Linked DNA regions of Drosophila melanogaster. The protein of the gene in region 2 interacts with the protein of the main gene of each other region in a pairwise test. Each region holds a gene or a part of one and is shown on either strand. Other genes may lie near its edges.

Evidence for each region. Proteins that work in one complex are often made in the same cells at the same time.
Region 1: the proteins of CG1407 (region 2) and ATbp interact in a two-hybrid assay, tested with the Drosophila melanogaster proteins (one large-scale study listed by BioGRID).

What each region holds. Positions count from the first base shown.
Region 1 is NC_004354.4:23,101,470-23,109,753, reverse strand, and holds ATbp ((A+T)-stretch binding protein), read right to left. Parts: upstream 3,752-8,284; 5' UTR 3,651-3,751; coding exon 3,471-3,650; intron 3,411-3,470; coding exon 2,424-3,410; 3' UTR 1,423-2,423; downstream 1-1,422. UniProt on the Drosophila melanogaster protein: May be a transcription factor for genes having (A+T) stretches in their promoter and/or enhancer regions. Binds to AT rich DNA.
Region 2 is NT_033778.4:10,028,162-10,036,445, forward strand, and holds CG1407 (uncharacterized protein), read right to left. Parts: upstream 4,733-8,284; 5' UTR 4,369-4,732; coding exon 4,233-4,368; intron 4,175-4,232; coding exon 4,053-4,174; intron 3,965-4,052; coding exon 3,858-3,964; intron 3,666-3,857; coding exon 3,419-3,665; coding exon of another isoform or gene 3,347-3,418; exon of another isoform or gene 3,286-3,346; coding exon 3,123-3,285; intron 3,054-3,122; coding exon 2,924-3,053; intron 2,508-2,923; exon of another isoform or gene 2,098-2,507; coding exon 1,644-2,097; 3' UTR 1,102-1,643; downstream 1-1,101. Other genes in the region: CG12128 (uncharacterized protein), read left to right, coding at 1-283; CG12129 (uncharacterized protein), read left to right, coding at 5,240-5,390, 5,443-5,542, 5,596-5,860, 5,912-6,454.

The DNA.
Region 1 (8,284 bases), on a different chromosome or scaffold from region 2:
CCTAGAAGAAGCTGTTGACACTCTCACCCTTAATATCAAGGCATCCAGGAATTCACATCAACATTTGCGCAATATGCAAGACGTTGGAACATTGGCATCAATGGTGACAAATCAGCGAATGTGTGCTACACACTGAAAAGGGGAACACCACCGGCTGTGCTCATCGATGGTACCCCTGTCCCCCAGTCCAATTCATCCAAATATCTTGGTGTAATCTTGGATCGGAGACTCAACTTTCCGAAGCAAGTGCGATGAGAGTGCGTATACGTGCAGCAGCGTCAAAGCACTTCTGGTTAATTAATTTGCGAAGTAAATTGTCACTCTCCAACAAGGTGACAATTTACAAGCAAATTTTAGCGCCAATATGTCGGAATGGTTGCCAAATTTGGGGCTTGGCGTGCGACAGTCAAATTCGTCGCATTCAGGCTGCCCAAAACAAAATCGCCAGGATGATAACGGGATACGAATGGTTCGTAAGGAACGCAACCCTGCACAAAGACCTCAAGCTAGCCACTGTCTTCGAGGCAATAAACATGCACTCCAGCGGGTACCACGACAGGCTAGAGCGCCACAGAAATCGCCTAGCCCTATACAAAATTAGTTATGTGCTAGTGTAACCCAATGCAAAAAAAATATCTTAATATCGTTCTCGAGCTATTAATTTTGGACAAAAAAGGTGTTCAAATTTCCCATAGTGCGAAAAATTAAAAAACTCAAAAGGCTAGTGCGCGAGAGCAGGAAGGACCCATTTAAAGCTGCTATCGAACTGAAACAGATGCTCGGCATATTCGCAATAGCAGAAACAGTTCGAACATGTCTCAGGGAACATGGTTTAAAATACTGAAGTCCAAGGAAAGTCCCTCCTTTTAATGGGAGACACATAGCCAAGCGCATTAACATTTTATGGTCAGATGTGAGCAAGGTTGTTAACTTTGTGGGCAATGGATAAAATACAAGAAAAACAAGAGAGATACCCGTTGCTCAGCTAGTGTGAATGCGAACACGAAATTTTATCATTTTATTATGATATCGATAGATATTGGGGAATAAAATGAGAAAAAATTTAAGAATTGTTCAAAACTGTTTTTTGGCAAATCGATAGAAATTTACACAACTAATAAAATTATGAAAAAATATCAAACAATTTTTCAAAAATGTGGGCGTAGCAGTTATATACTTTATATGGTCGGATTCCTTTCTGCCTGTTACATACTTTCAACGATAATAAAAAGGCAGTTGTAGCTTCTCGAGCAACTAACAATGGAAAACTTTGGGCTGTAATTAAGAAGTCCTGGACCTAAATATCCCTTAAACAGTGCCAGGACCTGAATCAATCCATGCCAACACGTTGAACAGCTGTTTAAAATTGAATATTTAAGCATTTTTCATGACGTGGCTAATTAAGTTAAGAACTCATAGAACAATGTAATTATTTTTTATTTTCTAATAAGTGCATGATTTAACTTTTCTAAAAAGGTATTTTTGCTCTTTTTAAATCCTAAAATTGGGACTTATTCAAACCTTGATTGGGCAAGTGGTAATATTAAATTTTTCGCAGCTGTATATATGGCCATATATACATAAATATTGTGTATCTAGGTAAATAACTGTTCTAACCTTGTAAACTGTAACTGACACTATTTCAGCAACCACTAGATATGTCCCAGAAATCTCGCTGTCCTCAGAATCCATTTCAACTTAAAGTAAAAGACTTACTCAAAGGAGACTAATCGGTTTTAACACATTGTGAACCAATTTACTCTAAAACAAAACTCACAACGGTCTAGACACCAACATATTTTTTGGTTGGGCTTAATTCCGTCTTCTAAATTTTGGTCTCCTTTACACACATCATTGCATGTACACTTAGAGCGTAAAAGATAACGGGGGTTTTCATACCTCTGCCTAAACATTTACATTACATTTACATGACAACCTAAGCCTACATTAGATATTAGTTTATATTTGTATATTTTTATATACTAAATATGCATACATGTTATATATATTTATATTATATATTTATTTATATACAATATATATTCATTTGTAGAGCATATATATATACACATATGTGATATACATATATATGTCACTTGCCTGCCACAATGTTGACGCAGTGCTAAATTTTAATTTACAGTCGGAATTATCCAGAATTATTTAATTTATAAATATAAATATAAAGTCTATAACTTTATTGAGTCTTAGAAAAGGCAGAGAAATCATGGAAGAGACAAAATGTAGAACTCTTTTGTACACACCTTGCTAATTCAACAGATTTCTGTGGCTCCTAGCACAATGAACATTTTTTGTGGCAAACAAGCGATTTCCTTGAACTTAAGTCAACATTTTCAAACAGGGTTTTTCGAGATGCAATGTGGTTAATTGGGGAATCTTTGAGCTGTCTCTGTTTAATGTATAGCCTAAAAGCGCTGCGGCAATATCTCGCTTTTGATGCCTCTCAGTGCGTGCTTTTTCTTCCGGTGTGTTGATAGGTTGCACGACTGCTTGAAGGAGGCACTGCACAGTTCGCAATTGAACCGCCGCTCCTTGCTGTGAACTACCCGATGTAGCTCCATTCTCGACTTATACTTAAACTTCAAACCACAAGTCTCGTAATCGCAGACGTACCAGCGTTCTCCGTCATCTGAAGAGACAGCACTCCCGGCGCTGGCCGTCGTGCTGTTAGAGTCCTTGGGCAGCTGTTCCTGACTGGCGGCTAGCATAGCGGCGGCCATAGCCGTCGAAGGAACGACAGACATGTTTAGTTGCTGTTGCTGCTGTAGAACATTGGGTGGCGTGGTGCTGACCGTATTGGAGGTGCTGGTACTGGCGCTGACGCTTACAAATCCGGACCCTGGCGGTGGAGGCGGTACAGGTGGTGGAACTAGCTGTGGCAGATGGTAAATGGTCCCCCCAGCTGCTGCAGCAGCCTGCATTTCGGGTGTAAGTGTCAGACTGCTGGGCTCTATTTTAATGTCGATGGCGCTGTTACTTTGGGTAGTTCCTTCGCCTGTGGATACCACAGCTGCGGAGGCTGCAGCGGCAGCTACCGCATTGGCATGGAGTTCAGCCAGCTCCTTGGCAACATCCCGCTGCTGTTGGAGCTGCTGGTGGGTCTGCTGTTGTTGAACCTGGTGTTGCTGGTGCCCTTGCTGCTGAGACTGTTGGTGTTGTTGCTGCTGCGCTTGCTGCTGCTGCGCTTGCTGCTGTTGCACTTGGTGTTGCACCTGCTGTTCGTGCATTTCCACCTCCCGCTGCTCCTCCTCAGAATACTTGGTTGAGCAGGTGTAAAGTGCCAGAGGCACACTGATCGCTGTGGCGCCTTGCTGGGAGCTGCTTCCTGGCGTTGCTGCTGCCGCCGCAGCCTCCACATCCGTTAGGCAGTAGCTGGATGTACGACTGTGTTCCTGTGTAAAGAGACCAAGGGTTATAAACCCTCCGCCAAAAAAAAACCACATAAAGCATACCTTTGCCACCCCGTGCATGAAATTATGCTCATCCTGTATGTGCTTCCAGAACTGATCCTGTGTCTGCAACTCCTCTTGGCACGTGTGACAAACAATCCAGAAGCTATCCCCCGACAAACAGAACTCGCCCAGCTTGGTGTAGATCTTGTTGTTCTTGCTGAGGATGCGCGGAAAACCCATGGCGTTGTTTTGTTTGACTAGGTCCGGTCCTTGTGCTGTTGTTTGTTTATGTTTATTTTTTTTTTGTTTTTGTTTAGCTATCGGCCGAATGGGCACTGTCGATAGTATCGATTAATCATCGGCCTTATTTAGTGTCGAACTTGAACGCAGCTATCGCATTGATGGTAAAGAACTACATATCAGTGGTCCATAAAAAAAACTTTAATTAGGAATTATATTTACAAACGATAAAACGCATGTGAAGCTTTGGGAAAAAATCTTAAAAAACATTGGTTTCCTCAACAGGACACTCAAAAAAAGCGTTAGACATTGGAAGAACCAAAATACTTTTATAGCATTTTAAATATCTTCTATCGATATATCGATAAGGTAAAAACTTCTAAATAAAAGTCCAGAATCGCGAATTTTCTATCGATATTAAATAACTGTTGTATGGAATCTTTAAGCCTTTTACAATTTTAAAAATGTTGTGAAGTACCAAAAATGATTTTCATGCCCTCGTATGGTGGAGGCGTATATTAAATTCCTTGAAAAGTATTTAACAGGTAAAAGGAAGCGTTACCGACCCTTTAATGTATATACATATATTCTTGATCAGGAAAACTAGTAGAGTCGAACTGGACTTGTCCGTATCAATGTTTTGCTGTTTGAATAGCTCCATCTTTCTCGCATTTTCATTATCAGAATGAAGAGTTCTCCCTTACTCCTGAAAGGGTCAGTCGGTTATTTAGTTAGAACACAAGCATTATGTTAATAATTTTTTAAATAACGTACTACATAGTGTGTCCTGATTATTGTTAAGCATTGATTTAATGTGCTTTGATTACGAACTAATCGATGTTTTTTAATTTTCCGTTATGTGTATAAATGAATTTATGTATGAATATATAACAATACCGAAATATATTTGAATACAATCTTTTTTTTGGAAAAATCAATTATTATTCAATAATATTGAAGTCACTAGGAATCGTTCATTTCCTTCTGAAATTACCTTAATGCGTAGCTTAAAAGATAATATTATGGATTTTGTTATACAAATGTACAGTGGAGAAAATACAATCCAAAAGCAAAAGTATTGAGTACTTGTTATTGAAAAAATGTAAGTAACGCAAGACAGACACTTTTAAAATGATACCCTACCCGAAAACACATATGTATATTCATATGTGGCTATGTAAAATGTGAAATATATGTATATATGTATGTGTATTTACATAACTACATACTTAGGTATGTGCGATATATTTTCACATTTTGTTTTGTCTTTGCATTTCCCTACGTACAGACCGATAGACTGGCATGGATAGATCGACTCGGCTATTGATCCTGATCAAGAATATATATATATTATATGGTCGAAAACGCTTCCTTCCGCCGGTTCATACTTCTCAACGAATCTAGTATACCCTTTTACTCTGCGAGTAACGGGTAATATATGCCCCCAAACCTCACCTCCCTGAAACACCAATCTTTCTAAAATCGACACAACACACAATAAGTTCAACAAAAACAACACGACCCCAAAATTGATAAGGAAAATATTAAATAATAAGCAAACTAACGATCTTTCCTAGACCTACATTTACACAGATGGATCTCAAACAAACAAAATTACCAGCTTCGCTATTAACTACGAAATTTAACTTATCAAACGGCACATCATACTAGCCATTATTGAGGCCCTAAGAACTCATAAAAATAAAAGAGCAAAATTCTGCATTATTAAGAACACCAGGAAATGAACTCGCTGACAGCCAAGCAAGAACCGCAACAAGCCATCCACTTACAACTATTGAAAACTTTAACACACAGGACATACTTAAATATATAAATAAATGTATATAACCAACATCTCGAGGACATCAAATTGGCATCAAACATCAAGCCAAAATCATCTTAACAGCTACCATTCTTTTGCTTGGACTAGAAAAAGCATACGAAATTAGAGAAATACCTATACAAAATTAGTTAATTAAATATAAGAGGCGGTGCCACGGCCACAATTTTTGGTATCATAAAAGATAATGGCAAAAAAATTTAAATATCTTTATCCGTTCTAGAGTTACAAACTACAACAAATATAAGGGGCGGTTTCAGAACGGATATATTGTAACCCAATCTGAATATCTTTCAACGTCCTGGAGTTATTCATTTTGGGCAGAAAAAGTGGTAAAATTTCACATAGTGGTACGTGGGCAAGTTTTGAAATATTCGCACACCCTAACGACGGCAAACCGCCCAAAAGGTTCACACCCACACTTTTGTGAAATGTTATAATTATTTTTCATTGCATTTTTTGATTTTTTGCTACTTTGTATCGCTTTGCCAAAATACCTCCACCATCTCATTCGAACGCCAACCAAATTTTTTAAATATGTTTAGACTTTTTTATTTGGTTATTATACCCGTTACTCGTAGAGTAACGTAGATTCGTTTAAAGGAATGTAACACGCAGAAGGAAGCGTTTCCGACTGTATAACGGATCAATAGCCGAGTCGATATAGCCATGTCCGTCTGTCCGTATGAACGTCGAGATCTCAGGAACTATAAAAGCTGGAAGGCGGAGATTTAGCATGCAGATTCTAGAGACAAAGACGCAGCGCAAGTTTGTTGATCCATGTTGCAACGCCCACAAGCCCACGAAAAAATGCCACGATCACTCTTTTGAAAAATATATTGATATTTTTTCACATCTTTATTAGTCTTGTAAATTCCGATCGATGTGCAAAAAAAAAACTGTTTGCCACACCCACTGTGACGCCCTTAAGCCGACAAACCGGTCACGCCCCACTTTTGAAAATTGTTGAAATTTTTTCTCATTTTATTCCCCAACATCTTTTGGTATCGCAGAAAAATATCTGGGTTAACGGGTATCTGATATTCAGGCAACTCGACTATAGCATTCTCTCTTGTTATTCTAAACAATTTTATGGATATGACAATCAAGTTTCAAAGTTTCTCCCTCGTTCTCCCCTTAGTTGAGTGGCGCTAGTGGAGAAAATCTATAGCGGTTCCTTTTGTTATTTTAACTTTTTTCCTAAACTAATTTTCCATAACAGAGATAAATTAGTTGGAAATTGTCAATATATTTCTAAATTAATTTGCTTTCTTTAAATATCAATTTATTTAATAGATAGAAAATTCATTTCGTCCTGTCTGTGTTACCAAAATATTTAGAACACTTAACAAAAATTCATATAACGTTCTGTTATATGAATTGCTGTTTGATTAACGAATGATTAAAACGTTTAAAACGTTACGTTTCGAAAATCAGAAAAAAGGAAAGAAATGCATACATTATCTTAACTTCAAAGCTTTTAAAGTTTTCGAGGTGACAGCGCCCTTACACGGGTATCTGATAGTCGGGGAACCCGACTATAGCATTCTCTCTCGTTTGTTGTTTAAATGGTAGTTAATGGGCTTTGCATTTTTCTATATTTGGTCTAGATCCTGAAGGCTGTGTTGATTTTGCAAAAAAAAAAAGACCATCGATTTTATCGTTTAATACAAATACAAACAGTCTCCAAGCTATAATTGTATCCTGAATTTTTGATAAGAATGCGTTTAGTGGGATAGGCCGGTCGGTATGAGTTAAGTATGGTTTTGAGAGCCAAAAACGGATACAGTACTAAGAAAACTATAATAGAGCGCATCTTATATTAGTTCATATTCTTCAGCGTCTTGGCATGCAATCGTTTTAGTTTTTGATACCTTTGGTATATGACTATTGGTTTCCTCACTTTTGAATATTTCTCACTGTGCATAAAGTAGTCGCCTTCGTCACTGCATTGAATACCACAGTTATAAAATGAAGATTAAACTTATTCTTATCGCAATTCAACGTCTTGCGACCCACCATGTACACTAGCGCTCGGAGCCTCGTCTCTAAAAACAGTCGCATGAACAATTGCTCAACATGGAGCTGTGCCGCGACTCCTGGCGTCGGATAACGAATGCCTAGAATACTTATTGAGGCCGAAGCTTCAGCGTGACAGATGGTTGGATCCGGAGGCATAAAGTACAAAACTAAACGATGAGGATGGCCTGCGGCAGAATCCAAACCTGGCCCCTATATGCCATATTTGTAGACTGAAGTTTTTACATCTTTACATTTACATTACATTTACATATACACGTTTGTAACAACTGCCCTAAGAAGTTTTTTAGCACGACGGCTTTGCGGGTCTATGAAAGAAGTCACACCAAGGAACTGCCCTACGTGTGCGAGCATTGCTCCCGAGTTAAATCAGCATGTTAAGCGACACAGAAACCAGCAATAGGTGCGACTAGGAGTTTTATACGGCCCACGCAAGGGACCGTTCCTTGCGTGCCCATCTTAATATTCGGGACAAGCTGTGTCCGTTCCCGGGAGTTTGTGGTGGGCTAGGCACTGCCCACGCCCATCTGACCCTCCATCGCTCCGAGAAGCGCGACTCATGCTGGCCCTGCGGAAAAAGTTTCGCCCAATATGCTGGACTTTATAAGCACCGTAGACGATGCTTACCAGCTGAGGTAATGGAGGAGTGCTTCCTAGGTCTACATTCTACTCTCTAACTTTAAATTATGCAGAAATTCATTGATATAAACATGTACCATTTATACCATTATATTGAGATTTTAATGTTTACGTA
Region 2 (8,284 bases):
TGAGGATTCAGGCATTGCAGTACGGCGAGATGTTTTAGTTAGCAAAAAGCAAAAGAAAAGGAAGCAAGTAGAGGATACTCCTGATGAAACAGTCGTTGATGAACCTTCATTTTCAAAACCATTGCCGAAAGTGGCTCGACTGACGGCCAATCCTTTTGCCGATTCCTCCGAGGAATTAGCGAAAAACACCCCAGCACAAGACGATTTTGAAGTGGTTTCATCCACCACCGTTTCTGGAACAAGCCACTCGTGTGCAGATGACGACTTAAGTCGGTTCGATTAATGGGAATAGTTGGAATTTTATTTTTGTAAATATACAGATCCGTATGTGTTGCTTAAAGTTTCGCTTTTGATTTTCTTGTTATTCCACTAAGCGTGTATACTATTTTGTTTTTTGTTGACGCGAGCTATAACGAGCTATATTCCTATATAGACATATACTTTTGTTCGAAATGTTCTAATAACTTTATCCTTACACACTAAATTAATACGATTTTAAATTTCAAACTCGAATGTCCAAGCAAGAATTAAGATTTTGATCTCCTAACATTTTTCGCATTATCACTTACATACATATACATTACAATTGTCTATCGACTCATTCGTAACTTAAACATAATAACCTAGTTGTCCCTATAGGATGGACTGTCTGTACCTCTGTTATTTACACACTGAAAGTATATGTATGTCGTAAGGAGGCTTCACAACTGAATCTCTAAATGTAATATGTAGCTACATTGTCGCTGGTCATGATTAGCTATGGAATCGAGTCTTGAAATCGCGGCTCTGGCAGAAAGTCCTCCTCCAACTCGATGCGCGTATCGCTGTGATATCCTAGCAAAGATTCCGTGTCCTCTTCCATATGTCGAATCGGAAATGTTTTGCCATCGCCAAAGCTAAAGGATATGTGGTGAATTATATCATCAGTGGGAAATTGATAAGTAATGAGTGCGTTATTGTGTATGTAATGGATTGATTGAAGATTCGGTGCTGTGCAGATGAAGCAAAGCTGTCATGTTTATTTATTTGGCAAACTAAAAACAAACCTTTATAAGTTTTAAATACTTTAAAATCCATTTAATTTCGTCACTTGCAGAAGTTCAATAATATATGTATTTGGGCATTAAGGTGTACAAAGTAAGAAAAAGTATAAAAACTTGCAAACAGTTACTAACTACATAAATTAAAACCATATGGAAATTACTGAATTCCGTGTGTGTTAATAGTGTGTACTGAAATCTCATTGCTTATCATTAGGTTTAAGTCTTGAAGATCTTTCGATATCTACAAGGATAGTTGGTTTCATGAATGCATTAGCAAGGTACAAATCTTCGGAGGATAACACCATCTCATCTACTAGGAAATTCCACATTCGATTCTTCTAATTTCCATTAAAAAATTCGATAAATGCGTGTGTGAAACCAATGACATATTGCCTAATGTTAACTTAGTCGATTATACATATGTGGTGATTTATATTATGGTCCCAGCCATTTAAACATTTAAATAGCCTACACTAAACAGCTGATGAATTGCATAGAGGTAACTTATTTGCTTACTAAGAACCGCAACGCTGACAAATCTGGCAGTTTACTTGGCTCTATGGTACAAAAACATACACATAATACATTCTACGTTATTATTTAAACTGGCAGATCGCCATTCGGCGGGCGTGGGAAGCCTTTGGCAGGATCAGCGCTTGTCAACGGATGATCTCCAATCATTTCGATGTATACGGCTGCCCCATTGACTCCACGCTCGTCCGGGCTAGACATGGCTGCTGGCGTGCTGCAGTCTAATGATTGGCCGTTTGCCAGCTTTTGCTGCCGCTCGTTGAGCTCGTCCCGGCATGTAGATGGCGGCTGGATCTGCAACAGCTGGGTTGGCAGGACGCTGGTGCTTCTTACTTGATGAGGCGATTGGTTGTGATGATGGTTAGTGGTGTCGAGGGGACTAGCGCCAATCAACTTATCTGTTGGATTGCCATCTAACCTGCTGGTGGTCGTATCTCCCATGGCATCGTACCGCTGGGTGGGAGAGCTGGTGGACACTCGACTCTGGTCGCTGGAGGTCGGATAGCTGTAGCCATCACCGCGACTAGTTCCGTGATTATGAATAAGCAGAAGGTTGGGGTATTGCGTTAAACAGAGAGTTGTAAACATAAATATTGTTTTTGTTTTTTTACAGTTTAGCTTATTGTAGTTGTAGCTGTTGTTGTTTGAGGTTTTTTTGTTATATAATTTTGCACAGATGTGTGAATACGAATGTAAAAATTTAATCGACTTTTCATGTGTGGCAAGTGTTTTGGTTTTAAAGAAACTTAATGAGCATTTAAAATTCAGAAAGTTCCGTCAGAATTTCAAACTTGGACACTTTAAGTTAGTCACTTTACGGGGCGGACAATTGGTTACTAAGCTTGTTTTGGTTAGATCTAAGTGTCTATTTCTAAAAATCGCTGGCAAAATTTGTCTCTTTTTATTTACAAAAATAAATAACGAACACAATTGAAATAAAGTGATAATTTGAATTTGGCTTAAAACTAAATTACAAAAGGAGATCGACCACATTGATTCATTGCTTTTCGGTCTCATTTTTCAGCATACACAGTTATTATGGGTTTACATAAATTATACGTGTTAGAAATTGCTTTAAGTTAATCTAAAATCTGTGATCTTCAATAGTCGTTTGTTTTTCTTAATAACTTAGCACACCAAACACACATTGAAGGATATTAAAGGTTTTAGCTACAAAGCTTTAATTTTGGAACATGCCTTTAATTTGCCGAAATCAACATAAAAACCAAAATCAAATAGCCATTAGATCAAATCTAATTAAATAAAAGTGCGCAAGAACAACAACTAATGAGTGAGAGAGCTTCTGGTGGAACTAGTAGAAATGGTGTAGTAAATGAATCGTCAAATACCTCGAAAACACGGGCAGGAACCAGTATTGCCAGTCGTCACCAAATACTTCGCAGAAATTGGCATAACGCCCCAAGTTATAACCATTCTTATCGGGGCCGCCAACGCGGAAGATCGGAGCCCTGAACGACTCTGAATGGAAGATAGATTAAAGAGGCTATGGTATGCATGTGATTTATAAGTCAGGCTTTAGGTACTTACCCAATGTCGTGCGATTCACCAGCACAAGGTAGATGTGGTAGCCAAATAAACTCACCAAACTAATGGCAAACATAATGGCAATGAAGAACAGGAACAAGATGTGAAAACGACCCATTCCACTGGCATTTAGCTGTCCCTGTGCCGAGTAACCATTATTATCGTACTTGGATCAGTAAGTACAAGCAGTTTAGATAACATTACAGCAAAACGAGAGAATACATTCATTAACTAACAGGTCTTCGCATGCAGCGGGCATTTAGGGTGGTAGCAAGAGTAGAAACGAATCGGAAACTTACTGCACCTACCTTCCAGAACTCGACAAAGTCGTGTAGCGAGGTAAAAGCCACATACAGGCAGTAGACAAGAGCATAGCCCAGGAACAACACGAAGTACTTGTAGTTGTAAAAGTTAACGCAGTTGTTTACCCAGGGGCAGTGGTGATCCATCTTCAGTACGCAGCAACTGCACACACTACAGTGGTGAGCTCGGTCTGGCTTGATGATCTTGCACTTTTCGCAGAACCGCACCGAACCATTCATTGTGCTGCAAGGCAAAGGTTTAAATATTATCAAAAATGCTTCGGAATGCGCCGTCCTAATTGTTCTGCTGCTGAGAAATGCATTTGGAAATGTCTTAATTGGGACAACTTTTAATTTCTTAGATAAAATGGTTTTGTTTGATAAAGTTATACAAATACAAATCAACTGACAAGATATAACATAACATAACGCTTACCGATTCGTTACTGGCAAATCGCGCGCAAAGTTGTTAAGAATGCGTTTCTGGGTGTCCGGGCTGTCGGCTCGGAAAAGTCGCGACACTTCCTCATCCGGTATCCTCCACTAAAAACGGGAGAAAAGCAATCGAATATTGTAGGCTTTTCCGTTTTCTTTTAATAACACGAGCTGATAAGGTGTATGATTCACTCACTTGATCTGGTATTCGGCCTACGGAGGTCATTATGGTGCGCCAGTACGACCACATGAACAGGGTGAGGAAGAGGTGGTAGAACAGAAGCATGAAGATCATACCAATGCGGTTCTCCGAGTTGCCTGAAAAAGGAAACATCAGGTTATATCCCCCCCCTACATGACTGTAAATACAACTCACGGATGCATAGCTCCACCACATAAGCGTAATAGGACCAAGCTATTACCGCGGTGATAAATAGCACTGGTATCCATTTGAAGACTGCCATACAAAATCCGCAGGGTGTCTTCCGCCGTCGATGATCGTCGTTACCCATTCTATTTATGTGGGCCACCACTTCGGCAAGGGCGCGTGTGTCTCGGGGCGTTGGTGTCACCTCCACCTGGAGCTGGAGCGGATTAGGGGCGATCGATGGGTCTGCAATTGTGGGTGCTCCTCCAGCGGTCGCTCCACTGGCCAATTCAATGTCTTTATCTTTTAGTGATTCACTGACTTCGCAAGCTGTTAACAAACGCTTTTTGACGCTATCCGCTGCTTGCTTCCCCTTTTGGGCGGACAGGTGCCTATTTCACCTTATCGCTGCGACATTTTCGGTAGTATTTCTCAGTTAATTTGCTTTTTCAGATGAAACCAACTAAATTTTGGCTGTCAAATTGGGGAAACTCAAATTGGTTTAGGGATGGGCGGTTCGTGTGTTGTGGGTGCCGTGACACGATACTATCGATTATAAGAATTTCAATTGGTAACACATTTTGGATCATCGTATTCTGCGTAGTTTTCAATATATAATTGCTTGACTTTGGATATGTTTCTGATATAAATATAATAATTCTTCATAATTATTTAGTCTCAGATTTTTATTATGGTACAATTAATTTATTTAAACATCTAACATGATCCAAGACAGATTTCCTCGTACACCCACTCTATATAATGTTTGGTATAAAATAACGTGTACATTTTGTTATGAAATTAAGAACAAATATTTCATCCCATATAAATGTTTTTAATACTTAAATAAGTAGCTGCCATCACTATTACTTATTCAAGTCTAGTATTTTTTAAAGTGTTTCCTAATATACCAAAGTGCATAGTAGTCATTCCCGGCTTGTCTATCATTTAATGAAGTACATTTGATTTTGGATATCGCCGTAATTATAAAAGAGTCCTAAATATTTTTGATCACCATGAGCCGCGAAGTGTTATCACCTCCTGTCCAAAAGATGAGCCAGAATCGGCGCTATAGAGTCAACGTTGTTCACGACGACTTCGGTGGCGACAAGTGGAATGGTCAAAACCAACGGAATAAACTAGAGTACAAAGCCTACGAAGAGCCGGGTAAGTGGATATTGTAGATTTTTAATTATCCACATTGACCACTTCTGTCCAGATCTTTATGGTGATGATGATGATGACGAGGACGATGCGGTTGTCAAATGTATTAAGGAGTCAGCAAATGGCGATTTTAGTCTTTCCATTCATGTGTCCAAGTGGGTTGAATACAAAGAACCGCTGACGATATCTCTGACACATATCCTTGCAGATCATTTTACGGTGGACTAATTGGCATGAAAGGATCTACGAAGCGCCGCATAGAGGAAGAGACCCGTACAGAGATCTTTGTTCCGCGTCCGAACGATAGGTCAAACGAAGTGACTATCAAGGCCAAGCAACGCAGTCAAGTATGCGCTGCACTGCGACAAATCCACCATCTTGTAGCCTCTTTACGAAAAAAAATGAAACCGACACACTTTTTGGCCGTGGCTCTAAACTCTGGAGAAGTCAAGGAGCGTTTTATGGAACTAAAGGTATTAGCTAAAAAAACTAGTTGTGCAAAAACTTATTTCCAATTTTCCTAGAAATGCATTTTGGAGGCCGAGTTGCCAGGCATCGATAAGGAGCTTTTCACTCCGGAGTGCTGCATTCATCTTACCTTAGGCGTCTATGTGCTGCTAGATGACATTGAACGCCAAGAAGCCCTGAAGAATCTGGAATCATGTCGTCGTTTACTGGATGGCCTTAAAATACCTTTCCAAATTAAAGTTAAGGGCCTGGAGATTATGAACGACGATCCAAGCTCCACTCGCATTCTGTATGCCCGCATCGAGTCTCCGGATCTGCAAAAGTTTGCGGATCAGTGTCTGGCCCACTTTCAGACTACAGCACTGTGCGCTACAGACAATATTGAACGTGAATCCATTAAACTGCACATGACGGTGATGAACAACCGCTACCGCAATAAGGCAAATAAATCTGGTAACAGCTTTGACGCTCGCGAGATCCTCAAGCGCTTTGGAGACTTCGATTTCGGAGTAGCCCAGTGCCAGGCTGTACATCTGTGCGTATTGAATTCGCGCTCCGAGGATGAGTTCTATAAGATAAGCGGTAGTCTCGAATTCTAAGAAGAATTGAAATAGAGCTTTATTTAAGTTTTTAATAAGAACATTTAAAAATGTCTTTTAACAAATAAAAGCCTAGCTAACGGAATCTTTCATATGTAACAGGTTTCGGGGTGATCGTTTTTTAGCTTTAAATCTATCATTGACTTCGGTCATAAAGCGTTTTAAGGCTTCAGTTTATTATTTTGGGTTTTTCATTGTTTGTGAACATTGATTTTTTGCTATTTGGTAAACATATATTTTTTTAATTTGATTACTGCAAGGGTATATAAGCTCGGTCTTGCAGAAGTTTTCCTTGTTTCTTGTTGTCATTGAATTTTTTAAAAACACATTTAACTTGTCAAAATATGTGAATCTTTAGTTTCCCTCATCAATGCACTTGAAGCCCAGTTGAAATCATCTAATGAGATAGTTTTATCAATTAAAATATAAGGTCTAAAATAGTTGGCATTCAATTACGCGTTAAGTTAACCACCTCGACATCACAAACGTACAAACCTTAATAAATCCGTAAATAATTCTTCTAGGGATTCCATATTTAAAGGTCAAAGGGTGCACTGTAGATGATTGCATGCTTGCAACAAGGCATGCTTTGTCGGAGTTGAATTATATGTTGAATAATTGAATAAAGACTGCCGTTTCGAATGCTTCCAATATCAGTAGTTATTGTATTTAAAAATAGCCAAGTGTCCAAACTAGAAGTTAAATGTCTGGATATAATAAACGGATACATCCTATCTGCATCGGCTCTGCAAAATATTTCTGACTTTCCCCGTCGCATTCCATCGATATACACATAAAGATTATGACCAACCATTTTCGCATTACTAAGGCGATGAACGGAGTTAACAGCTTTGACCATATATATATCCACTAAAAGTCCATTACATAAATAATCCATTTTCGAGGGACACCAGTAAATTCAATGTAAATTACACATATACGATTTATTTTTCGAATATCAATGATCAAATTGGTTTTGTATATCTTAGGCGACTGGACTGCTTAACACCTTAGTGATGTGCCTGTCGAAATCTTCTCCGGCGCTTTTCCAGGAGAAAACTACGACTTCAAGACAAATGTGCTCTGAGATTTCGCTCACGGTAGGAGTGGTTTTGTTTCCGACTCTTCATTACAATAAATATAAAAATATATCGATTACGTGTAAGGATTTCGGGAAAAATCATTTATTGGGTTTAACAAATTAATGGGTAAAACAAAAAGGTTATATAAAGAGCATGCTTAAGAGCTACGGAGTAGGAAGCCACAAGTGGAGGACACGAACATGTACAAAAAGAGCCAGCTAATAGGCCGGTTTGGAAAGGATATACAAATGTGGAGCATGCCGGTACTCCTGTCCAGACACTCTTACGCACTTGTACAAGAATTGGTTTAAATATAATATCAAAATCAACTTGACGGCTTACTAACTAACTTTATCTACGCACGTTCTGCTTTTTGTTTGCTTAGTAAATGTCAATAGCTTCAGTCTAAAGTTAGGATTTGGTTGACTTTTGTTTAGGCTTTTGTTTTTAAATTGAAGATGATAACATTGGTTCTACTTGTCACGTTGTTGTTCCTTCGGGCGGGATTTGAACTACAATAGTAATGATACTGAAAAATTTTTTTTAGTTCGCACATAGACTATATGGTAAACATTTTAACATATGCAGGCTTTTACATATATATGGATTAGTTTTCGATAAAAGTCGTGACTCAAACAGTGCGTTTTTAGTTTTCTTGTTCTGGGTTTCTTTTTTAAAATAAACTTATCAAAAAGTTTTGGCTGCCTTCCCTTGTCTGGTAATCGACGTGCATACATACCTGTCGATT